7 linked regions of the Danio rerio genome follow. The protein of the gene in region 7 purifies or fractionates together with the protein of the main gene of each other region. This does not show direct contact. Links are inferred from orthologs where the notes say so. Each region holds a gene or a part of one and is shown on either strand. Other genes may lie near its edges. The genes, in order: mrpl3, ilf2, ago2, usp10, chchd2, igf2bp3 and ybx1.

Region 1 (3,500 bases), on a different chromosome or scaffold from region 7:
TGGCTAAAAAGTATCGGTTCAGGCACCGAAAAAAAAAGGACTGGGTGTGTTTATATCACCCCAATATGACAATCGATTCACTATACCTACGTATATGCCAGTCCAAACAGCTCGAAAAATAGTTTTTTCACCATAGATGCCTTTAAATTGCTATAAAATTACTACAAATAATAGGCATAAAAATTATAAATCTGTCCCAACCAATTGTATTATCCAAATAGCATAAGAATAGCAGAAAGCAGTTTATTTACCTTAAGTGACTTTACTGGCAATTGTTCTTTCTTTCTTTTTTTTTTTTTACTTCAACTAAGAGAAGAAAAGTATGTGCATATTCACATTTACTTTAACAAGTTTAATTCAACTAGCAGTACAATTTTACAAACTTCGATAGTTTTTATGCAAATCCTAATAAGCAAATGAGGAAAATCTATTAAATGAGACCATTTGAATCAAATACTAACATATTTGTTACACCACCAGCATAACATAAGAAAAGAAGAATTGTTTGTACAACAAAATACGCAAACAACCCTTGAATATTTACAACTATAGCGCTTAGGTAAAATTACAGCACTTATGGACATATATTTTAACGTTTAAATTAGCCACAGAATTAAAATACATGTGTGTTACTCTCAACTGTTCACAGAGAAAAAGAAAGTAAAACCAATCTGAATGCAGTATTTTAAATGTTGACTAGATGGCCGGTCAAAACCACAAGTGGCTAGAGTAAACAACAATGATAGGGGTTCAAAAATATATGTTTTGGCGGGTCGAATCTCCTTATATCTTTTATGTCAGTTGCAGTCGTAAATGGCCCGCGGGCTGGCAGTTTAAGATTCTCCCCCCATTTACATCTGTAGTAAGTTGTCTTTGGTCTGGTCAAAAATGTTACATTTGAGCAGTTTGGTTCCATTTCACAACAGACCGACTGTTCACAACCAGTTGGAATGAATTAAAAAGCAGTCACAAGACAACATCCATATGAGTCGTTGGCTATTTCCTGAACTGCATTTTAATTGGTCAGAATTAACGGGTGGAAAACTCGCATACACAACACACAAAAATAAACAAAGAGCAGAGGAAATTTGCAGACCTTCCATAGTTGTGGTCAAGTAACTAAGTTCTTCAGAGTTCATTTGAAAGCATACAGAGAGCACCTCTTTAAGCAGGTCTCAGTACACTTGTTTGTGGACTACTTTTAGTGCACACCCGAGTATGATTTCCACTTTCCCACCTGGCCAAACAAACTGCATCAAAAAGGTGCATGAACTCTGGTACTTTTTAACTGAACTCAAAGAGGCAGTTGTAAGAGCAAAACACCCATAATTATTAGCTTATAAAATCAATGATACTACTATCAAAATAGAAATACAAAGATTCATAGACGCATTTGTATTGGACTCACGTTTTGGCTGTGACATCCACATATTGTCCTGGACGGAAGTGAGCTGCGTAAAGAGGAGTGCCTAGACAAAGAAAACCAAAACTTAAGTCAAAGCAGAAAAAAAACAAATTGACCAAAAAAAAAAATCTGAAACAAAATCAACAAATAATAATAAACAAATACACAAGGGAAAAATAATCAAAAACGTGTAAAAGTTAAAAAAATTTAATCAGGAGTGTTGTTTTTGCTTTATAAGTCAACTTGTGAAGTCATTTTCGGTGAAATATGTAACAAAAAAAGTAAAAGTAACTCAAATAATATTACTTATTTTTAAAAGTTATGCGTTATATTACTTGTTATTTTGCAAAAGTAATATTATTACGTAACGTGAGTTAGTTATAACAGGTTACCCCCAACAATGGTAATGACAAAAAGTATACAAGAAAATTACTAAATGTTAAACTTAAAAAAAAGAAGAAAAAAAATAAAGTAAACAAAACAACAAAATGCACAATCAAACAGACATTGTAAAGGCTGAGTTACACTTCTGCGTCAAGTGATCACCACCGTGACCCACGGCACATCTTGCGTGAGGTCATGCATTTATATTTCTGCACGCTGTTTGTGTTGCTCTGCAATAACACTTCCAATATGCTAGCTGGCAGTAGGTTTTTATGCTCCTCTATGTTGACTTTCTTTGCTGGTGTTTTGTTTTTTCTGAAGGCTACCTTAAAGTACAAGAAGCTAAAACTCGCTAATTCACAGGCGGGAACCTGCAAACGTGCAACATTATTTATGTTCAAGGGGTATGCGACTGCGCAAAGGCTGCGCCAGACCATACGTATGCGCTTCACGCAGAAGTATAAATTAGCCTTAGGGCGTGTTTACTGAAATTCAAAATTAAAACTAAATTGATTTTAATCTGTTACAGATTATATATCTGTTATAGTTAAGTTAAAATTATTAGCTTTTATTTTATTTTTATTTTTTCAAATTTTGTTTAACAGAGCAAGGAAATTTTCACAGTATTTCATTTGATATTTTTTTTTTTTCTGGAGTTTGCTTTATTTTGGCTAGAATACACACACACAAACACTGACAGGTGAGAATACCTGGTTTGATTATAGCATTGTCTGTAACACAAAAGGTGGTGAGTTTCTGCTTGGGTGGAATTCCTGCATTCTGGAAAATCTCCAAATATCCCACCGGCCTCTGAAAAAAAAAAAAATTAAATAATAGCTTGACCGAGTTACTGCAAGAGATTTTCTAACTTATCTTTAAAAAGCATAGAAAGGGTGAAGAAAAAGAGAATACATTAAACCCAAACTGCTCTGCTGTGTTTTGGGAGTTGATTGACTGACTGAAGGCTCGGACTGAAGGTCAGGACAATTGACAATTACACTTCAAGCAGCACTTTGTGGCAGCTGTCAAATACAGACAGATGACACACACACTAGCTTATTGCCAAAAATGGGGGAAAATGACACTGACAAAAGTTATTTTTTTATAGCAAACTCTACTGAACTGTTGAAGGGGTTTAAAAAATCCGTCAGAATCTGTCCATCACTGTTAGTCTTTCTTTTCTACCACCAACAGTTCCACCATTACAGAAAGTCAATCGAGGAGTTCCAGAAGAATGCACTTAAAAAAGCTGTACAGGAGACAAGTTGTCTAGGTTTCACATAATCATTTTCCGTAACATGCACATACACACAAAAAGGTCACCTCTACATCTACTGAGAGCCCTCTAATTTCTTTTCAGGTTTTATTATAATCCCTCTCATCCACAGAAGCAGAACAGCTCTAGTCTATTATCCTGTTCCACCTCAGAGAGGTCAAGGATTGGCAGAAAGGTGAAGAGACAGAGGTTCGTTAGGAGCATGTGGACAAGAGCAGTCTTACTGAAAAACGTTCAAGACATGTCTTACGTGAAAAGGAGAGACATTCTTTCCACCAACGACCAGAGCTGATGTGTGCCCATTATAATCTTCCTTGGACAGATGTTTGACTACATGACAGTCCTTCACCTGAAAGACAGATTTGGGTGTGTTAAATTCAAATTCCAACTGCATTTACAGTTTCCCAGTTGCATACATACAAAACATAACTCCAA
Region 2 (4,050 bases), on a different chromosome or scaffold from region 7:
AATGAAGCTCTGGGTCCAGTTTGCGCAGATTGGGTGGGACAGTGGTGATGAGGATTTTTACTGTGGCATCGGCAGAGCTGATCTCAAATCCAGTCTCGTTTGTCAGCATGGACAACACTGGGGAGAAGAGGAAAATGCATCAGTGAGAATGGCAAGCAAGTCGGATTTTTTTTCCCTCCCTGAAACTACAGGTCTGCCAGATTAAAGCCTATACTCACCCTCAGAAGGGTCCTGGGTTCGCAGGGTCTCAACAACTTTGTTTCCCAAGGCGGCAACAGCTTCCACTGAACAAGAACACGTAAACATTACTGATAAACCAAGTACACTTGGGCTAGGAGCAACATGTTGGCCTCATAGAAATCTCAAGACTTACAGGTGGGCAGAATCTTCAGGATAACCACAAGGTCAGCAACATTGTGTCCTGCAGTCATGGTGCCCTTTTTATAGGAGCCCACTTGTCTTACTTCCTCAATTTGCTGAAAAAGGGATTATCAAACTTTCATTAAATAAGTCTAAAAACATATACATAAAATATTTTGAAAGGCATTAATAATAATAATAATAATGTTTTACTGAAATATCTTACCACTTCAAAGTTTCCAGGTGCCACAATTAGGTTATCAATGACGTTGTTAATTTTGGTGACCAAGGACAAAATGGAAGCCTGTGACAAAAATGAAGAAAAAATTTGCTGTAATTTGTTAATAATGCAATCAAAAATTGGTTTGCTTTTGCACTCCTAATACAATATCACATTTTATGCATCTATTCTAGGTCAAAACCAAATGTGTAACAGCTCACAATCTTTAAAAATTAATAGAGGATGTTGAGACCTTATCGGATATATATAATATATATATATATATATATATATATATATATATATATATATATATATATATATATATATATATATATATATATATAGGGCTGATTCCAGCGTTATGGATGTGACATTTGCAGTAAAAATTCAAAACATAAATTTGCAGAGAAAGTATATTTTAACATTATATTGAATCATCCGTTTATATTTTCCAAAACAACTAACCACAGAGTTCTGGGATCAAAAAAATTCAATCTGTGAACATTTTTATACTTTAAATGAGGAAAATAAACAAGTGTTATGGATGTGACAAAAAAAGTCTGCGAGTTTACAGTATACAACTTATTTCGTTAAAAAAAATCTGTGAATTAAACTGCACAACCTAAAATAAATAATTCTCAACAAAAGGATAAGAGTTGGCTCTTTATAGAACAAAACTGATTTATTTTATTTTATTTTGACATTTTTGCATTTTTGAGGGAAAATCTTTGCTATGGATGTGACACTTTTTCGTTATGGATGTGACGGATGTGAAATTGCCATTTGTTTGACTTTGGTAAATCAAATAAATTAGTTTGAAAACATTGACAGAGACATTTTTAAGTATTTTTAAAGTACTGTAAAACACTTGCCTGCGCAAAAAATGTAGGAACGGTTTCGCTATTTTGGTGAAAAACATTTTTCTTTTCATGGCAAGGTTGACATTTTCATGGAATTGCTCATATATATATATATATATATATATATATATATATATATATATATATTACAATTCCATAATTTACTCCCACTCAAGGGGTACTAAACGTTAACGAATTTCTTCTGTTAAACACAAAACAAGATATTCTTAAGAATATGGGAAACCAGCATTTTTTGGTGTGTTCAACCAAATTAAGAAATTCAAACAGGCTTGGAACAAGTTGAACGAGTGTAAATGTCAACGACATTCATTTTTGGGTGAACTATCCCTTTAGCATGAAAGGGCAGAAGTCATGGAGTGTGCAGTTTTCATAATAGTTTATGACCATACCTGTTCAGAGGGGGTTGGACTGAGGTCTTGGTTCCTCTTCAACAGACATTCACTGAAAGCAGTCTCATCAGAGGCCGGCTTCACTCGAGGAAAGGCCATCTCACACTGTACAAAAGCAAGTTGTCATGAGCTCTGGGCTTAAAAAGGCTGTTTTTCCTCCCCACAAATCAGAAAAGCAATAAATGTACTTACAACATAGAAGTCAAATGGTATGTGAGGGACAAAGGGCCGATACCTGAGACAAGAGAAGTCACAGGTTACAAAATTATTACAATATAACCAAATTTAAGTAAGGGGGTCAAAACAATATGGTCATGAAATCTTACCCTTGGACCAAACCTCCGCGGGAGCCGAACCGGCCACCTCGGCCCCTGCCACGATCTCCTCTGAGAAATAAAAACGTAATTTCAGCAAGTGCAATACAAATAAATAAATAATGATGTCCAGCGATAACCCAAAATTGGATTTTTTAAAGTTTAATTTAAAACCCAAATAAAAAAATAAATATCACAAATTAGATAGCAGTATTGTTCGAATAAAAGCACGGCGTTCATTCATTCATAAACGCTCTCGGTTTTTTTTTCAGGAACACATCGTTTTGCAAATAACACAATATGTATAGAAAATCCAGAATTATGACTATAACCGGAAAAACTTTACTAATAAAAGTGTTTATTTAGTTACTGTATTGATTAAAAACCGACAAAGGGGCTAGCAGAACATGCTAACATGTTAGCTTAGCATCTTTGAAAAAAATGTATAAAATATCACAACATACAGTATTTTGCTATAATTCGGTTTATAACCTAATCAAAAAGATTGTTTAACTATAAATGATAAATCAGTTCGTACCTCATTGCGTAAGACGTTTTGTCAGTTTAACAGGACACACGCTGGTGAGAAGAGCTCTGCCTCCGCCTGCAGATAGCCGCCGAGTAGCTAGCTTCAGAAAACGGAAGTAACTTCATAAATCCAGCATAACCACCTAGAATAAAAGCCCGAAATAGCAGCCCACACAATAGTAAAAGTCTCAGTTGAATTAAGGTTTTTCGAGTTTATTTAGGGAGGAAATAACAGTAGCAGAAAGAGAAACTATCTAACATTCAGCTTTATTGTCTTTAAGTCAACTATGAAATTATTTAAAATACTATTTTTATGCATTACAATGTATGGATGACAACTACTCGCTTTTAAAACATTCTATTGTTTGGATAAGCTCAAACAAGTAGCATATAGCATACATAAAATTTTGTAAGGATTAAATCACAACATTCTAGATAGATTACCATAGTTTACTATGTTACTTTGAATGTTCGATCTGAATTAGCATGCAAGCATGACTTCTAAACAACATTATTAGTATCTAATTCACTGTGAACCATGTTGTACTTTGATAGTCATTTGCTGCTAATATGATTTCCCTATTTGGAATTTGCAAAGAATACTTTCTGAAATTATATTATTAATGAGAATATCTGAATTTCCGTATATAAAACCAACTTAACCTCTATCTAGACTGCTGCTGTCACATGGTTATACTTTGCTGAAGATAGCTATAGTTTTGTAAAGATTAGAAATATACAAACACAGATAATTTACTTCATTTGAAATAAATAATACACAAACAAACAAGCACATCACTAACAGGTCCACATTGTTCGACCCTAGCTATGGAACCCTATTAGAAATTTAAATAAACAAGAGAAGACAGTTTGGTCTGTATTATTTCACCCTTTTATGTCTTATATATTTAAAACCTTTAGGGATTAAAACAACAACAACAAATATTATTTCCATAAATAATCACTTCAAATGCATCTTGCAGGGGAGACTTGACATGTCAGGGGTGGACCTGTACAGTCCTCACACTGCCTTTATCAGAGAACACCAGACAGAAGTTGTGTTACATTCCACAGCCAATCAAACGCAGGAAATCCAAAGCTGTGCAGTTTTGCGCAAATTACGTAGATGTAATGCATGTGCTGAAGTAAGATAAGGGTTGTTTTTTAAATGTTCAGTCACCTCCACTGTTATTACAGCAATATGCCTCCATCATCACAACACATCCATCTACAGAACTAAATGCAGTGATAAGACAGAAGGTAAGAATATTTGTAATAATCTAATATGAATATTATCAGTTTCTTGTGAAATGTCTTAGGTAGGTGTCCAGGCAGGTTTTTGGATTATATGTATA
Region 3 (3,500 bases), on a different chromosome or scaffold from region 7:
CATGGGAGATGTGGGTATCGAAGCACCAGTTTGTACTTATCCTTGAAGTACTGGGCGACAGTGCATTCAATGGTCTGACCATTCTCTTGCTGCAAAGGAAACCTAGAGACAAACAAAATACATTTTAAAGACATCAGCTTCAAAATAATGAATCTTTCAATGAGAAATATTAAATGTGATGACAAAAAATAGAATACACTATACAAAACGCATGGTTCCACACAATTCAACCATGTGGTCTCAACACAAATCCGTCAAGTTTAATGCATTAAATTTGTCCTGCTTTTTTTAGTGTTTTTTCAGCTTATATTAAATAAGCAGTTTGAACAAGAAGCAAAAATATTTTTTGGGTGTACAGAGGTCCCTCTTTATTTGCGGGAGTTGCATTCTAAAAATAACTCTCAACAGGCGAAATCCTTGTAGTCAGCTTTATTATTTTTTGTACAATTATTATAGATGCTTTAAGGCTGTAAAATCCCTTACTACACATTTTTCTCAGACAGGAATTAGCATTTTCACTCTTTTCTCTTGTTTAAACACTCTCAAAGTAAAAAAAAAAAAAAAAAAGTCCAGAAAAATAAGTTCAGTGTTATAGAATAAAACCAAAGATCAAAACCTGCTGTCAGACGCAAACATTCATCACTGTTAGCAAAACGTTTATAAAGCTTTTTAGCTTTTGTGCGGATAATGTTGGCATCCAGTGTAATGTTCTTTTTCGTGCAGTCACTGATTCAAAAAACTTAAGCAGACTCCATTCTTAAGGGGATTGCACACCGGATGCGCCTCGCACATGACAGTTGGAAGTAACGCACACAGTACACGCACATTTGCATGTTACTTAAAATTAAATTATTCAGACGGCGCTCTGTGCCACGGCAAAAATATGAACAGTCCCGAGTCATATCTGGGCGACGCTGGGAGCTTGAGAAACCTATATAAACCCTGATAGAAACCTATATTTACAATTCTAAAATGCAAGGCGCTGTGGGGCATCCTTGTTAAAACTCACACTGATAGCGATCAAAGATTTATGTTAATTTGTCAAGCTGAATGCATTCTGTACGGTACAGGAGACATGAAGGAGATTGATTGACAATGGTCTACAGCCAATCAGGACGCATAAAAAAAAAAAGTCAAATTGCACAAAAGAAAATAAAAAATCTGCGAAAATGTGAGGCCACGATAGCTGAACCACGTTACAGTGAGGGGCCATGGTACTGAGATTAAAACCATGTTAAGACACTGGTGTTTAGATGTCCAGAAATAGTGTAAAATAAGCCAGTATTTCTAAATAAAACTTTTCCAAACATTTTATACATGCATTTAATTCCCCTTGATCTACATTAAATCCTTTAAACTGACCAGTATTGGAGTTTAAAAAAGGAATATAAAATGCATTTAAAAAAAAAATGAAAATAGTCAAAAAAAAAAACTTAAGTATAAAAATTGTTTAGAAATGTTTAAAATATGGCATGTGGGAAATGTGCTACACCCCAAATCTATGTGTGTGCATGTGTTGCTTGCTTGATATAAATTTAATTGATTGCTTAAGCTGCTTTGGGATATAAATCAGAGAACTTTTCATACAATTGAAATACAATTTTGAATAAGTATGTTGTCCTAAAAATTCTTTACTACAGCAAGTTAGAAATTGTGTCGTCAAATCTTACGTTTGATGGCTGGCTGGTCTTCTCGTCACATTACACACTCTGTACTTCCTCTTCATTTGTCCACAGTGAGTAATTTCAACCTTCAAACCTGTAAAATGAATGCAAAATTCACATTATCCCAAAATAAACTCCATAAAAGCCGTTGTAAATGTCAATGACCACTGTAAGAAATTACCCTTGATCTCCTTGGTAAACTTCACTCTTTGGGAATCTGTTAAGGGCTTTTGCTGCTCTTCGATGCTTTTAAAATCCAAAACCTCACACATGAATTCAATGACGGGTTGAGCTTTGTAGAACGCAGTGGCAGACACTAAAAACGATTATACAGAGAAATCATTAGCAAAGTGCAAAATCAAGTCCAACGAATACGGTCAGTGCAATCTTACCATCAATGTTGAGCATCATCTTCCAGAGTGATGGCCGAACAGACTGATGAAAACCAAACCAAACTTCTCTTCCTCCACCAAGAGGGTTAGAGCAGCCCTCCGATGGAGTGAAGAATGAACGTCCGACTGGGGTGTACCTGTAGAAACAGCAATAATACTTAAAACACCACAACAGCATTGTGGATGATGATCTCCCAAAATGGAGATATTAGATTAGATTAGATTCAACTTTATTGTCATTACACATGTACAAGTACAATGCAACGAAATGCAGTTTAGGTCTAACCAGCAGTGCAATAGCAGCAAGTGCAGGATACAGGAATAAGTTATAAAGTGCAGTTATAGAAAACTATGGTGATATTTACAGATGGAATGGATGTACTATGAACATTATATACAGGTTGGATAAGCTATGAACAGATTTACAATATATGAATATATGTGCAGGTTGCTATTAATAATCAGTAGTGTGCAGATAGATAAACATGATTACAAGTGTATATGTTACAATATATGAATATATGTGCAGGTTGCTATTAATAATCAGTAGTGTGCAGATAAATAAACTTGATTACAAGTGTATATGTTACAATATATGAATATATGTACAGGGATAGATAAACATGATCACAAGTGTATATGTAACAATATATGAATATATGTGCAGGTTGCTATTAATAATCAGTAGTATGCAGATAAATAAGCATGATTACAAGTGTATATGTATAGTGGGTGTGTACATAATTACAAATGCCCATATGCAGTGGGTATGTACAGTTCAATAAGTAAACAGTTATGTAGAATAAGTCAGTGCACACTTACTCAGATTTAAGTTGCTAAATGAAAAAAATATATCATGGAGTAGGGTTGCACTATATATCACAAAATTATGGTTATTGCGATAATAGGATATGCAATACAAGTAATCGCACAATTTTATGCAGTGGTGATTTATCTAAATTTGACCATTCAGATGGGACCTTACTATCTTTATCTCCACCTCCACAGTAGTTGCTGTTCATCTATTGTCTGGAGTGGCCCAAAGGTAAACTCAGAGGTAAAAATAAATGGCCAGTTTTCACTTAGTGGTACGGTAGGGTGCGGTGCGCTTTTATGGCCATTTTCACTGTCGAAAAGGTACCAAAAAGCGAACCGTACTGTACAAATTTTTGGGTACCCTAGGGTACTTAGCAAAAAAAAAAGGGTACCAAAAGGCGGAGCCAGATGCACAGCTGAATGTCTTGATAAGCCACAAAGCCAAAAAGAACAAAATCTGCCGTGTCCTGTTGTTGTTTTACGAGGTTGTTTAAAAGCTCGAGCGGTTTCACTTTCTCTAGAGAGCTTGCGATCCTCGCATGCGCGTTTATATTTGAATTAACGAACTTCTTGAGCTGATGATAACAACATGCGTGTGATTACTGAAGTGCTTCTGACATCAGATTCT
Region 4 (4,190 bases), on a different chromosome or scaffold from region 7:
GAAATAAACAAGAGAATAAATGCATTAGCATTTTTTTTTAAAAACAATCAAATCTTTTAGGCATGGGACAATAATCGTTTTTCAAAAGTATACCGCAGTAAAGAAAAGTCAAGGTTTTAAAAATCGCCAACATTTTCTGCTATACTGTTCCTATGGAATATGTAGGATTTTTTTTACTCCAGACTTTTGTTTTTAACAGTATATCCGACAGAAAAGATCTCCAAAGATGCCGTTTTAAATTGTCAAGAACTCTGTGTTTTTGAAACAAAAGACAGCACAAGTCAATGATTCACTTAAATGATTTAGCCTGACGTGTTTACTGCTCCAAAATATTTTAAATGTTTCTCAAGATTAACTAAATTGTGTTCAAAGGGGAAAGAAATACATCACAATATTGTGAAACCCCAATATATTTTTTAAGGTTATCATACTGTCAGAATCTTACACTGGCCCATTACTACCTCTAATTACGCATGGGACGATAACCGTTTTCAAGGTATACCGTGGTTTGGAAAAGTTAAAGTTTTAATACCACAAAAACTCTGTTATACTGTTCCTACGACACATGTAAGGTTTTTTTTTTAATGTTTTTAGAACAGTATCTACAGCAGAAAATATATCAAGAGATGCCTTTTATGCCTTTTTTTAAAGATGCCTTAAGAAATCTGTGTTTTAGAAACTAACAAATAGAGCAAACGTCAATGATTTGTTTTAATTACTTAGCCATACATGTTTACTGCTCCAAAATGATTCTTAAAATCATTGTCATTGTGGAAAAGTGTTGTTTTTTACCAAGACATTTAAAAAAAAGAACTCATTTGAGAGCAGCAATCGCAATAGTGAGATACCGTGAACCTGTGATATTTTTACCCAAGTTTATACCGGCCCATGCCTATCCTTTATTATACTTTATTTTTGAGCACACTGGGAGTCTTAAATAGACAGGGTCATTCAAATTTTGTATACATTAAACATTAAAACACTACATCTCCTGTCCCAATCCAATGTGTTTATGCAGGAAACGAATGCATAAAAAAATTCAATAAAAAAAAAAATCTACAGAAGATCCAAGTTGCATGCAAAAAAAGTAGTTGCATCATTAAGTGTTTAATAGTTATTAAAAGTATTCAAAAGATACAAATGTGTATTTACTACATATGTGAAAATATTGAAGTGTTTGCCTTTTTAATCATAAAGTAAATGCTGTTTACATCAACAGTTCTGTCTAATAATCAAAATTTAATGAGTAAAGAAATAAATGACGCTGAGGCACCGGTGTTCAGATGCTGTCAAAACTAAACACTTTCCATAAGGTGTTGTTCCATGTCAATCAGCATTGCCAGAATAATTACTTACAACAATCCTAACAAAACTGTAGTACTAATAAACAGGTATTATTAAAAACAACGCAAGGTGACAAATGCACGTCACACAATTCAAAGTTTACATGCATAAATGACATGTGCAACTTACTTTGACAGGACCTTGTGCTTTATGTGTCTAAACTGCCTACAGTCAGAGACCTTTTATTAAGCAGAATGACCCATAACTTTACACATTTAATACACTAACCACATTTCAGCCATATGGCATCAATGCAACAGTGCTAAAAGCCGTCCAACTTTATGAAAGTAGCACATTTAAATATCACACGTCATTAATAAATACAAATACCAGCCCTATGCATCGCATTAAACGCGATCGGGATGCATTTGATTATTCAAGACTTCACGTTTACTGACAGCACAGTGGAGACGCTACAGTTCAGCATGTGGCTAGCAGTCAGAGCTACAATGATGTAGCATCTTCACCACGGCGCCTCGTTCAAAGTTAGCTGACTTCAAAACCAGTCTAAAGACACTAAAAACACAGCCTGGTGGTGACGAGCTGTCACTAGAAATATAATGGATGCGATGTGATCAAGAAACAAACGTAAAAGTCAAACGCAAGAGTTTGAATGGGATTGAAGACAGGAAGCGATACCGCCCCCAATCAACAGGCCTATTTCACTACATTAGCAGCACGACACGACTCTATTTCAACTTGCTTGAACTGAAGACACTCCGCGGAAACACTTAACACTTTCTTACTGTATTCGGTGGAGTGTGCCACACAGGCGGTATCCGACAGAAATGTCGCCGAAACGCGGTGTGTTCAGTGCAAGATCGCGTCCGCCTGCTAATGACCGTTATTAACCGAGCACGCGCGCGTGGCCAGGCCGCTGCAGCAGCGTGAGCGGGAGGGCCAAACACAAACTCATGGCCGAAAAACACACACTCAGCGCTATGCCACACACACAGCCTCATGACAGCTGTAAATCACCCGTAAACCTTTATTATAATGGCCGCCTGAATGTGAGCTAGCAGACGGAATGCTAGTGGTTTTGAATAAGCGCGTGAAGGCTGTGGGCCTGCAGCCATGCTGCCGATTCAATGAGCTCGCACGCACAGTCCAACAGAAAGTACAGCACAAAGCAAAACAAACAATCTCTACGATATTAAACTGTAAATGAAAGCTTCAAAACGGTTTCCGTACCTGGTTACTTTGCGAAGCCATGCTCCCGGTGAGATTTCTCCACAATCACAAGATGAATGTTCTCTCGGGGGGGTAGGGGGGTAAGGTGAGTTTGTAGTACTTGGTATTACCAGTAAACACCTACTGTGACATGGTCTCCATTTTGCTATGGTTTGTCATACAGTGGTTTTACTCAGGTTTAGTGCCACTACTCCAGCATATCACGCCGTTTCCCCCACCGTCGCCGCCATCTTTATCTCGCGCCTGTGTGCTGCCAGTGGCGCTCGCGCGCGCTCCCTTCTCAAGCCTGATTTATACTTCTGCGTCAGGTGACCGGCGTAACCCACGGCGCAGGCAACGCGCGTGGCTGTGCATTTATACTTCTGCGCGCTGTCTCTGCCGGTCTGCATTAACACTTCCGAAACGCTAGTTGGCAGTGAGGTGTAAATGTTCCTCTGTGTCAAGTTTCTTCGCTACTTTTTTGCATTTCCTGAACACTTCCGGGATGTACAAGTGGCTCAAACTCGCTCATTTTGAGGCAGGAACCGGCGGACGTGCAACAACTTTAACTATGAGGTAAACACAAAACAAAACTTTCCATCCGGAGCTCCTTCACGGGACTCCACACTTGTAAACAATCGCTCGCGCGGCGTCGCGCCATTCGCGCGCCTCTCGGTCCCGCCCAGACTCGTCAGCGCTACCAAGCCGACCAATCACAGAGCTTATGCTACGCGTCGTTGCGACGTGTAGTTACATTTTTTGAGAGGTGCACGTCAGTGACGGCGATGGCCACGGCGAAGGGCTATGCGTCAGCGCCGTAGCATACGCCGGTGTTTGACGCAGAAGTATAAATCAGGCTTCAACGGGCTCGTGTGCGTGCGTTGACGTTCTGCCGGGAGGGTGGGCGCGCCAAAATGACGTGCAAATTCAAACTTGCACTAGGATGCTGAGCATATTTAATATTTAATAAATATTACTTAATAATATCATTAATATTAATTATCATTAATATCATTAATATCATTAATATTTAATAAATATTTAATATCATTAATATATTAATATATATTAATATCATTAATATATTAATATATATTAATATCATTAATATTTAATAAATATTTAATAAATATTACTTAATAATATCATTTTCTAATTAAGTTTTATATATCGTAGCAATAAAATAAAAAAGGAAACAGTAGATAAACAAGTACCAAGTTCAACCAAAACAGGAAATTCTTCCGTCACTTATTCACCCTTCACTTCTTCCAAACCTGTTTGACTTTCTTTCCTCTGTTGAACACAAAAGATATTTTTAAAATAAACTCTGTTAGCTTGTACTTATTGACTCCCATAGTATTTTAGAATAGTATTTATCCTACTATGAAAGTTAATTGGTACAAGCTACCAAGATTTTTACATATACCATGTTCAGCAGCGTATATAAGTACACCCCTCACAAATCTATCTTTTAAATGCATATTTTTAATAAGAAGCTATACAATATATTTGTGCATATACATTAGATTGGTCAGTACTGAAACCAAAAATGGAGCTTATCTAACAAAATAACTTACGATAATGGTCCAAAAACTAGTACAGCCAAATTTATGTTATAGAAAAATGTTAATTATAAATAAAATAAAAAGGAAAAATTAAGAGAAGCAAAAAACTGG
Region 5 (2,484 bases), on a different chromosome or scaffold from region 7:
CGAATTTGCTTGAAATAACGCAAAAACAAGCAATTTACACTTTTTAGTGAAATATAGGTGTCCTAATAGTGTTTTAGCAGTGTGGGACACATATACGACTGTCAACAGCTCAAAAAATGTGTTTTGGTGTTTCGTGACCCTAAATGTATGTGACCCTAAATGTATGTGCGGCAGGTTTTGTTTGTTTGTTGTGTAAAAAAAAAAAAAAAAAATTGAAAAGCTATTTTGTAATGTATGTTTCATATCTAATATGTTCAATAAAAATACTTTTGGAAAAAAAAATAATAATGTTGCTACAAATCCACTACATAATTTATATAAAGCTGCAACAAGGGGACAACTTTATAACCCATAAATAAGAAAAAATAAGGGCAACTTTTCACATGTTAACGAGTTCACAGTACGAACCATTGGAGAATCTGCACTGTTTGAGCACTTCGCTGAATCCCTCGCAGAGTTTGAGGTCGCTCTGAGACTGAGCGCACTCGATGAACTGCTTCATCTCATATGAACATGGGTTCTGCTGCTGCGGATCCTGCTGGTACATGGGCTGCTGTTGCTGCTGTGGCGGGTACATGGCCTGACCCTGGTACGGCTCCTAAGAGACCATCAAGGATGAAGAAGTTTAGGTGTTTCCAAGAATTCATCACTGCCTTGTTTAAAAACTCCTACAATTATTTAGCTAGCCCAACTAGACGAAATATTGAGATAATTACTAATAGAATACAATAATAATTGTAAAAATTGTTGAGCAATGTATATTTCATTATATCTTAAATTTCTGGAAGTTTTAGGGTTGGAATTTATTATAGGTAACACTGTTGCTCAGTGGTTGGTACTGTTGCCTCACAGCAAGAAGAACACTGGTTTAAGTCCTGTCTGGGCCAGTTGGCATTTCTATGTGGAGTTTGCATGTTCTCCCCGTGTTGGCATGGGTTTCCTCTGAGTGTTCCGGTTTCCCCCACAGTCCAAAGACAAGTGCTGTAGGTGAAATTAATAAACTAAATTAGCTGTAGTGTATGTGTGTGTGAATGTATGGGTGTTTCCCAGTACTGGGTTGCAGCTGGAAGGGCATCCGCTGCGTAAAACATATGCCGGAATAGATGTCGGTTCATTCCGCTGTGGTGACCCCTGATAAATAAGGGAGTAAGCCGAAGGAAAATTAATGAATGAATTGATTATTGTATTCTTTAAAGGAAAACTGCTAAAATTACTTAGCAAGTCTAACTAGAAAAATTAAAAACTAGTTCAATAATTACTAAAAAAACTGATGTAAACTCTGTTGTAAAGTTGTCAAATTGTCTTGAATTTCTAAAGGTTTTAGTGTTCGGTTGATTTCATTATTCGTTTTTAGAATTTTTTTTATAAAATTCGCTAAAATGATTTAGCAAGTCCAACTAGACAAAAGTGTTTAAATATTTATTAAACAGATATAAATTCTTGTATATAAATAGCGGTCTTGTATATTTACATTTATTTATAAATTTCTATATTTATCTATACATTTCTTAAATTTCTAGAAGTTTTAGCCTTTAATTTAATTCATTATTGCGTTTCCTTTAATTCCTAATATGATATAGAATGTCCAACTAGACACAAATATTTTAATTACTGATAAACTGACATAAACTCAAAATTTCTAAATTGTCTTGAAATTCTATAAATATTATAACTAGATTTTCTAGAAGTTTTAGGGTTTGGTTAAATGTATTATTGTGTAATTTGAAAGAAAATTTTCTAATATTATTTAGCGAGTCCAACTAGACAAAAAATACTATAATAATTACTAATAAACAGATAAAAGTTGGCGGTTCATTCCGCTGTGGCGACCCCGGATTTATAAAGGGACTAAGCCGACAAGAAAATGAATGAATGAATGTTTGCTTATTTATTTGCTGCTAATGTTAACTATTTTTTCCTTTTGTATATAATAATATTAAACATATTACTGACCATTTAACTGTTTATTTACAATGAAACACCTCCAGGAGAACATATTTAGTAATTTGGGAATTCTTTTTGCGGGGGATCCCTTATTATGGTGGGAAATTTCCTTATTTTCACATCCCAATGTTGACAGGTATGCGAGTACTCTATTGTCAGTAGTCATTACCTATTGAGGTTAAAGTTATTTTGTCCAAAATAAAAATTTTATGTCATTCTAATGCTCTGAGACCTTCATTCATCTTCAGAACACTTTTTATAAAATAAAAATAAATGTAAAATGAATGCACCCGTGCCATAACGTTTACCTGATAGGTCACATCGGGCCTAGCAGCTTCAGAATGTCCCCCTCCGCCAAAGCCACCGGTCATGGCGTGACCTATTGTGTGTCCGACAGCAGAGCCGACAGCAACGCCTGCAGCAGTGGAGGCCATCTGAGCGAACATTCCCGGCTGACGGGGAGCAGCAGCAGCAGGAGGAGCCACCGCTGAAGGTGGAGGAGGAGCCGGAGCGGGTGCGTAAGACCGCGGAGGAGCTGCT
Region 6 (3,500 bases), on a different chromosome or scaffold from region 7:
CAAAACACAACAAACTACTGAAAAGAAAAGGCAGTTTTGATGATTTAATGTACAAAAATAGCCAAGTATATTAAAAGTAGCCAACTTTATTTTATTTAAAATTATTTTTGTTGTTGACAGTTTTAACAGTTTGATCAGTCTTTTTTTTTGTTCTTTTAAATTGCAGTTCATAAGCGTTTAGCCTGATTTAACTTATCATTTTTCAAATTTCTGAAGTGTTTGTGTCTATATAGTGTAATGTTTAAATTCTATCAAATATTTAAAAAATATTTAAATGTATATTTTTCAATGTTTTCTAATCTCACCCTTTACTAGCAAATGCTGCATTTATCTGAAAGAAAAAATGCAGTAAAAACATGAATTGTGTGAAGTTCTTACAATTGTAAATTTCTTATTTCTATTGAAATTTTTGAAGTGTAATTTTGTTTCTTTTTTGACAGCCTGTAATTATGGTAGCTGAAAATGGCTTTATCATATCATCGCATTCACTAGAACTATGTTAAGCTGCTTTGACACAATCTTAATTGTTAAAGCTTTAAACTGAATTAAACTGAATTCAACAGTCATTTAGAAACCATTTATTATTAACAATTTAAATTTATAAGAACAGTTTCTTTTTTTAAAGTGACCAAGTTGAACATTTTTTTTACTGCTACTTTTTAATTTTTTTTTATTCTTATTGATTTATTGCATCTTTGCATGAAGGATTGCCTTCAAAGAAAACTCAAAAACCGAAAATTACAGTTACTTTTTTCGCCTGAATTTCATCAACAGAAATGTCTTAGTATAAGGAACCTCCAGTTGGTTAACACACTGATTTCTAATGTGTGTGCACAGGATTGACATTCATCGTAAGGAGAACGCAGGAGCAGCAGAGAAGCCAATCACTGTTCACTCAACACCAGAGGGCTGCAGTTCTGCCTGTCGAAACATCATGGAGATCATGCAGAAAGAGGCAATCGACACAAAGATGTACGTTAATGCATGTGCCCACTGTATAAAATGGTTTTCTGTCTGTCATACTAAAGTTAGTCTTGTGCGTTTAATCACACCATATACACCTTTCTCTCATAGCACTGAAGAAATTCCCCTTAAAATTTTGGCTCATAACAATTTCGTTGGCCGCCTCATTGGAAAAGAGGGACGCAACTTGAAGAAAATCGAACAAGATACTGACACCAAGATCACAATCTCACCGTAAGTAGTTTTCATCTTTGCGTTCTTTCATGTTGGTTTTCTTTGTTCGTCACTGCTGGATTCTGTTTCCCAGCATGCAGCATGTCATGAATAAATCATCTGCACTGGGTTGAATTTTAATTATTATATAGACTTCCCAAGATGGCGCATATTGAACAGAGATTAGACTTGATCTGCACGAGTGACTCTGAAACTGCATTGCATTTGGAAGGGATCTTCCCAATGTCCTATAGCTTTCAGAGGATTTACCATCCTGAGTGATCACTTCGAATGTATTAGGAAATAGAGATGAGTCCTTCCGAATACAATGCAATGTGCAACTCCAAATAACATTCCTGTTCAAAGGATCATGGGGGACCAAATCCTTCATTCTGAAGTGCTTTTCTGTTTTGAGTAGTTTGATTTGGAACAACACTTCAAAATGGATACCATGATTGTTATGGTGGTCATCTATCCCATTTGGAATGCACCATTGTTACTTGTCCAGTTAGCTTATTCATTCTGCCCAGTTCTGTTTGTCCTCTATGTTGGTCAATGCTAATTGCGAAGGAAAACCGATGACAATTAAGATTTGGACTGCTTTCTTAGTTGGTAGTTTGACATTTAAATGTGAGGGAATTGGGGTTTAATTATTTAGCAGTGGTTTTAAGTGAAGTATCATAACATATTCAGGTCAGTTTTGACCTGAAAGAGAAGCAAATTATGTAATCTCAAATGTTTTTTAGTCAGGGAATTGAAGTTGCAAGAATTTTAGTATGGTGAAATACACACTCTCAGACTTTGATTCAGAGGTAGAACAGTTTAAAGAAACCTAGGTGTTAAAGAAACGATTTGAGTCAAGTCTTCATGAAATCAAAATGTGCTATGTTTATTTTGCTAGCTCACCATTATTATACTTAAGGTGAATAATTATTCAGCGCAAGTTAATCCACTGAAGAAAAAAAAAGTTTGTTTTGATCATCTTCAAAGAAGTTTGGTGTGGTGGTCTTTTTGTTGACGCCAACCTGAGGGCTTCTATAGCAATTGCATATTGATACCCTCTCTTGTCGTTAGTTTGCTAAAAGGAAATGATGCGCAAAAGAAGCCCAGCTGTATACAGGGTTCGCACAAGGTGCTTAGAGGGTTTGAAATTGGCTTTTACAAATTTAAGTTCCGGAAAACCTGAAAAATTGTCTTGTTTTGTTGAAAAGTGCTTAAATTAACAAGAAGATTTTGTATGCAATTTTCACGCCAAAAAAGTTAATGTTTGTGAACGTTTGTGACTATTTAATGCAAAAATTCTCCATGCAAACCACTGTGATTCTGAAGCGGAGATTTGACTGATTTGAAAAGTGACCACTTACAGTCGGCCTTGTCTAGTTTTTACGTGAAAGTTAAGGGTGGGACAAAGGCTAAGTTTCACATTTGTTTGTATACGTTTTTATTTCAGTCATTGCAACACAAAGGCCTATCAGAACTTTTAATAAAGGTGAAACTTTAATTTATTTGCTATTAAAGAATTATGCTAGTTAAGTTTCAGAATGAAGTATTTGTACGATTTATACATAATAGCTGTCTTTTGGTCTGTTATTTCTAAATACCTTAAGTCATTTTTTTAATTTTTTTATTGACTGTCAGTCTGTTTGGCTTTTTTGTAGAATTATTTAAGGTTAAAATCAAGTGTAAAATAAAATTTCCATTTTCTGTCAAGCAACAAATTTTCCAACATTTAAAGACAAACAAAAATGAGCAAAGAAGGAAAATAGTGTAAAAAATGGCTAAATTTTGGTATTTTCATAATTATACTATATAATTATGGTAGTTTTGCCACTGGTTTTGAAAAAGATTAGTTGAAAGGAAAAATTTGCCACACATTGTTAGTGCAAATTCCTATATATGTGGTTTTGTGATTTTTAACAATTAAATGTAGTGTATGTGTATTTATATAGCACATTTTATTGTGTATGGCCATACACCCAAAACGCTTTACAATCATGATTGCGATCTCTCCACACCACCACCCATGTGCAGCATCAGCTTGGATGATGAGATGGCACCCACGGGACAACGGCGCCAGTGCGCTCACTACACACCAGCTATAGGGGGATAGAAAGACAGTGATAGAGCCAATTCGGTGGATGGGAATGATTAGGTAGGCCATGATCCTTAGGGCCGATGGAGGGATTTTGGCCAGGATTCCGGGGTTACACCCCTACTCTTTACGGGACGTGGCATGGGATTTTTAATGACCACGGAAAGATTAATGTCTCATCAGAAAGACTGCGCCCACTGACAATGTAGTGTCCCCTTCACTTTTACTGGCG
Region 7 (2,879 bases):
CCACAGATTTAGCTAAAAAGGAGAAGAAAAATTAAGTCATCTACATCTTAGACGTAGGCCTGTCACAATATCTATTTTTTTGTTAAACAACATTTTGAACCAAAATGTATAGTGATAAACAATATTATTGTCATTTTAAAAGCCTTTTATTAAATAATGCCAGAATGACAATATATTAACCACAAAACAAATACACTTCCAAAGAACACAATTTATTCTTAAGATTGTTTAATTGCCATTTTAACTATTTAATAATCAGGCACTGGAATCAAAAAGTGTGAAACGCATATTGTAAACAATAAAATGTTAACAAAAAATTTAAATAGAATAAAAGTGCAAGGTAATAAGTAACAAAGTCTGTGATATGTTAGCAGATCTATTTTCAGCTGTCAGTCATCCACATAAAAATATACTCTAGGAATTACTACAATGTTTAGAACCATAAAGAGGCTGCTCAGTTAAAACGTTGCTAGAACTGATTATGTATGGGCGATATATACTGCATCACCAAAAATGATCGAGGTCAAGTCCATGTGTTGTGCAGTAAGTCTATATATTGATCGTGACAGGCCTACTTCAATGACCCAAGAGTAATTTATCAGGAAACTTGTAATTTGGGGTGGATCATTCTATTAAAAAAATAAATAAATAGAATTGCTAAATTAATACTTAATTAAAACAATAGAAAAAGAAAACTTAAATAATGAAAATCATGAATATCTGAAAGATCTCCAAAGTCCAGCAGCAGTATTGTTCCTCTTATGACATACAAACCTTGGTCGGAAGCCTCTGTAGTAGTTCTGCCTCATTGGTTTGTTGCCCTGGTCTGGACCCCCTTGGTTCTCTTCACCTTCACCACCCTAAAATTCAAGAAAAGCATCCATCAGTCAAAAAAGCAGCTTCCAATTTAATTTACTGACTGATGCTCAGGCATCACCAAAAGCATACCTCTGTCATCTCTCCTCTTTGTGAGTTGGTGTAGGGGGGGCGTCTGCCGTAACGCCTCCGCACGAAGTATGGTGGGTAGCGCCGTCTGCCGGGGTAAGTGGGTCTGCGCTGCTGCTGCTGCATCTCCCCCTCGGGGGCGCTCTCTGCCCCCTCTCTCTTCTCCCGGGGCTCTGCCTCAGGGTCGCTCTGATAGTTCTCCTGGTAGTCGCGAGGTGGGGCCCTCCTGCGTGGGTACCGCCTGTAACGGTTCCTGTCAGCTGCATACTTACTACCCTGCACAGGAACGCCACCCGGGCCGGTAACATTTGCTGCCTCAGCCCCCTGACAGAATGAAGACAATGCAGATCAAGTGTCCGCTAATTTAATAGATGGGCTGTTGCTTTAGATAATGGATGCAGAATTTTCCAGTAAGTCATTCAGAGTCTGGCCAGAAATATGATGCTTAATCAATATCGGCTTCAAAGCATTTTTATTTAGGATACGCAGAGAATTATTTTAGTAGTTCTGATGACATAACCTCTCTGATTTTGAATTTCAGCTTATCATTTTTATTAATGGCTTTGTTAGTTTTAGTTTGGCTTTTAATTTGCTGTCAACATTTTCATTTTGTTCTTACACATTTAGTTTCAGTTTTGGCAATTCTCACACACCTAGAGTTAAGCAAATGTTTTCACCGCTTTTTTTTTTTTTTTGGACTTGAACAGAAACACCATATAAATTCAACTTAAAAAAATTAGCAAAATCATAAACTGTTGTTTGGCATGAAAGTGAGAAACATCATATTAAAAGTATCAACATGTATAGTTAACAAATTTTGGCAGATAACAAAAACTGATACGTTTTAGTTTTTTGGTACATCATGCACTTGACAACCAACAGGTATCACCAAACATGAAGACCTCATCGCCACCAAGTCTGAACCAATAACATTGGCGACATTAAATAGATTCACTAAATATTGACTGTAAGAAACTAGTCCTAAACTAAAACATCATTCATATACTTTAACAATGTTAATCCAGAAGATGTCACCTATAGAACAGTGTGCTGCCTTCATTACTGCAGTAAACAAAGCAGTGTGACATCAAATACAGCAGGACTATCAACTTCATAAACTACACAGCATCACAACATTTAAAACTTTAGTATACAACTATAATCAAACAACCCTATACTCAAACATGATGCAAAAGTTAAATTGAAACAATACTTTAAGGCCCTTAAAGTCTTAAACGCAAAGTTAATAATTTAGAGAAATTCAAGACCTCACGGACACAATTGATTAGCTCTGAAAACTATTATTTTTGCTAATTAATATTTTCAGTTTTGGTTCATTTTTCAGTGACTTATTAGTTTTATTTAGTTTTATTTTCATTTATTGTGAAAAATTTATTTCAGTTCAGCTTTAGTCTTTGTTGACAACAGAGTTCTTTCAGTAAACAAACAGAGTATAAAACTAACAAAGCAGTTTAAATAAAAGAATTGTGAAGTGCTCTAGTAAACGTCTCCAATAAAAGGCTTGAGTGAACATTTAGGAAATGGCGACTGACAAAGTGTTATAATATAGAAATAAACACTCTGCTTACACGGTCAAGCAGCGTCTAGTGAAGTTTCCACATATTCAAGAGTCAAGATATTCAGCCACCCCTATCGAAAAGTCAATTAAAGTCAAGGCAGGGGTGTCAAACTCCATACAGGACTGCAACCCACCAGGAACTGTTTAGTTTTAACCCTGCTTCAACACACTTGCATGTATGTATTAAACAAGCTTGAAGGACTCAGTTCTATCATGTGTGTTTAATTAGCGTTGGAACTAAACTGAGCAGAGCTGCGGCCCTCCAGGATTGAGTTTGACATCTGTGTTATGATTTTGTGCTGTTTAATGCATTTTAATTTAAAGCCCAAAGCTTGACTAGTACTACATAAAAGCA

What was found.
Region 1: the proteins of ybx1 (region 7) and mrpl3 purify together in Homo sapiens (affinity purification with mass spectrometry; 3 studies listed by BioGRID and IntAct, with this or other methods). This does not show direct contact. The link is inferred for Danio rerio from reciprocal best matches to the Homo sapiens genes YBX1 and MRPL3.
Region 2: the proteins of ybx1 (region 7) and ilf2 fractionate together in Homo sapiens (co-fractionation; 4 studies listed by BioGRID and IntAct, with this or other methods). This does not show direct contact. The link is inferred for Danio rerio from reciprocal best matches to the Homo sapiens genes YBX1 and ILF2.
Region 3: the proteins of ybx1 (region 7) and ago2 purify together in Homo sapiens (co-immunoprecipitation; 4 studies listed by BioGRID and IntAct, with this or other methods). This does not show direct contact. The link is inferred for Danio rerio from reciprocal best matches to the Homo sapiens genes YBX1 and AGO2.
Region 4: the proteins of ybx1 (region 7) and usp10 purify together in Homo sapiens (co-immunoprecipitation; 3 studies listed by BioGRID and IntAct, with this or other methods). This does not show direct contact. The link is inferred for Danio rerio from reciprocal best matches to the Homo sapiens genes YBX1 and USP10.
Region 5: the proteins of ybx1 (region 7) and chchd2 purify together in Homo sapiens (affinity purification with mass spectrometry; 3 studies listed by BioGRID and IntAct, with this or other methods). This does not show direct contact. The link is inferred for Danio rerio from reciprocal best matches to the Homo sapiens genes YBX1 and CHCHD2.
Region 6: the proteins of ybx1 (region 7) and igf2bp3 purify together in Homo sapiens (affinity purification with mass spectrometry; 3 studies listed by BioGRID and IntAct, with this or other methods). This does not show direct contact. The link is inferred for Danio rerio from reciprocal best matches to the Homo sapiens genes YBX1 and IGF2BP3.

What each region holds. Positions count from the first base shown.
Region 1 is NC_133194.1:21,458,606-21,462,105, reverse strand, and holds part of mrpl3 (large ribosomal subunit protein uL3m), read right to left. Parts: intron 3,415-3,500; coding exon 3,316-3,414; intron 2,600-3,315; coding exon 2,500-2,599; intron 1,470-2,499; coding exon 1,409-1,469; intron 1-1,408.
Region 2 is NC_133194.1:40,099,865-40,103,914, forward strand, and holds the start of ilf2 (interleukin enhancer-binding factor 2 homolog), read right to left. Parts: upstream 2,801-4,050; 5' UTR 2,711-2,800; coding exon 2,706-2,710; intron 2,240-2,705; coding exon 2,180-2,239; intron 2,089-2,179; coding exon 2,046-2,088; intron 1,959-2,045; coding exon 1,854-1,958; intron 665-1,853; coding exon 587-664; intron 477-586; coding exon 374-476; intron 285-373; coding exon 219-284; intron 118-218; coding exon 1-117. UniProt on the Homo sapiens protein: Chromatin-interacting protein that forms a stable heterodimer with interleukin enhancer-binding factor 3/ILF3 and plays a role in several biological processes including transcription, innate immunity or cell growth.
Region 3 is NC_133194.1:44,207,482-44,210,981, reverse strand, and holds part of ago2 (protein argonaute-2), read right to left. Parts: intron 2,194-3,500; coding exon 2,057-2,193; intron 1,981-2,056; coding exon 1,846-1,980; intron 1,759-1,845; coding exon 1,671-1,758; intron 103-1,670; coding exon 1-102.
Region 4 is NC_133182.1:74,677,648-74,681,837, forward strand, and holds the start of usp10 (ubiquitin carboxyl-terminal hydrolase 10), read right to left. Parts: upstream 2,801-4,190; 5' UTR 2,557-2,800; coding exon 2,536-2,556; intron 1-2,535. UniProt on the Homo sapiens protein: Hydrolase that can remove conjugated ubiquitin from target proteins such as p53/TP53, RPS2/us5, RPS3/us3, RPS10/eS10, BECN1, SNX3 and CFTR.
Region 5 is NC_133190.1:6,038,359-6,040,842, forward strand, and holds part of chchd2 (coiled-coil-helix-coiled-coil-helix domain-containing protein 2), read right to left. Parts: coding exon 2,253-2,484; intron 599-2,252; coding exon 409-598; intron 1-408. UniProt on the Homo sapiens protein: Transcription factor. Binds to the oxygen responsive element of COX4I2 and activates its transcription under hypoxia conditions (4% oxygen), as well as normoxia conditions (20% oxygen).
Region 6 is NC_133194.1:22,624,807-22,628,306, forward strand, and holds part of igf2bp3 (insulin-like growth factor 2 mRNA-binding protein 3), read left to right. Parts: intron 1-837; coding exon 838-972; intron 973-1,074; coding exon 1,075-1,197; intron 1,198-3,500. UniProt on the Homo sapiens protein: RNA-binding factor that may recruit target transcripts to cytoplasmic protein-RNA complexes (mRNPs). This transcript 'caging' into mRNPs allows mRNA transport and transient storage.
Region 7 is NC_133183.1:56,874,186-56,877,064, forward strand, and holds part of ybx1 (Y-box-binding protein 1), read right to left. Parts: intron 1,270-2,879; coding exon 949-1,269; intron 861-948; coding exon 775-860; intron 1-774. UniProt on the Homo sapiens protein: DNA- and RNA-binding protein involved in various processes, such as translational repression, RNA stabilization, mRNA splicing, DNA repair and transcription regulation.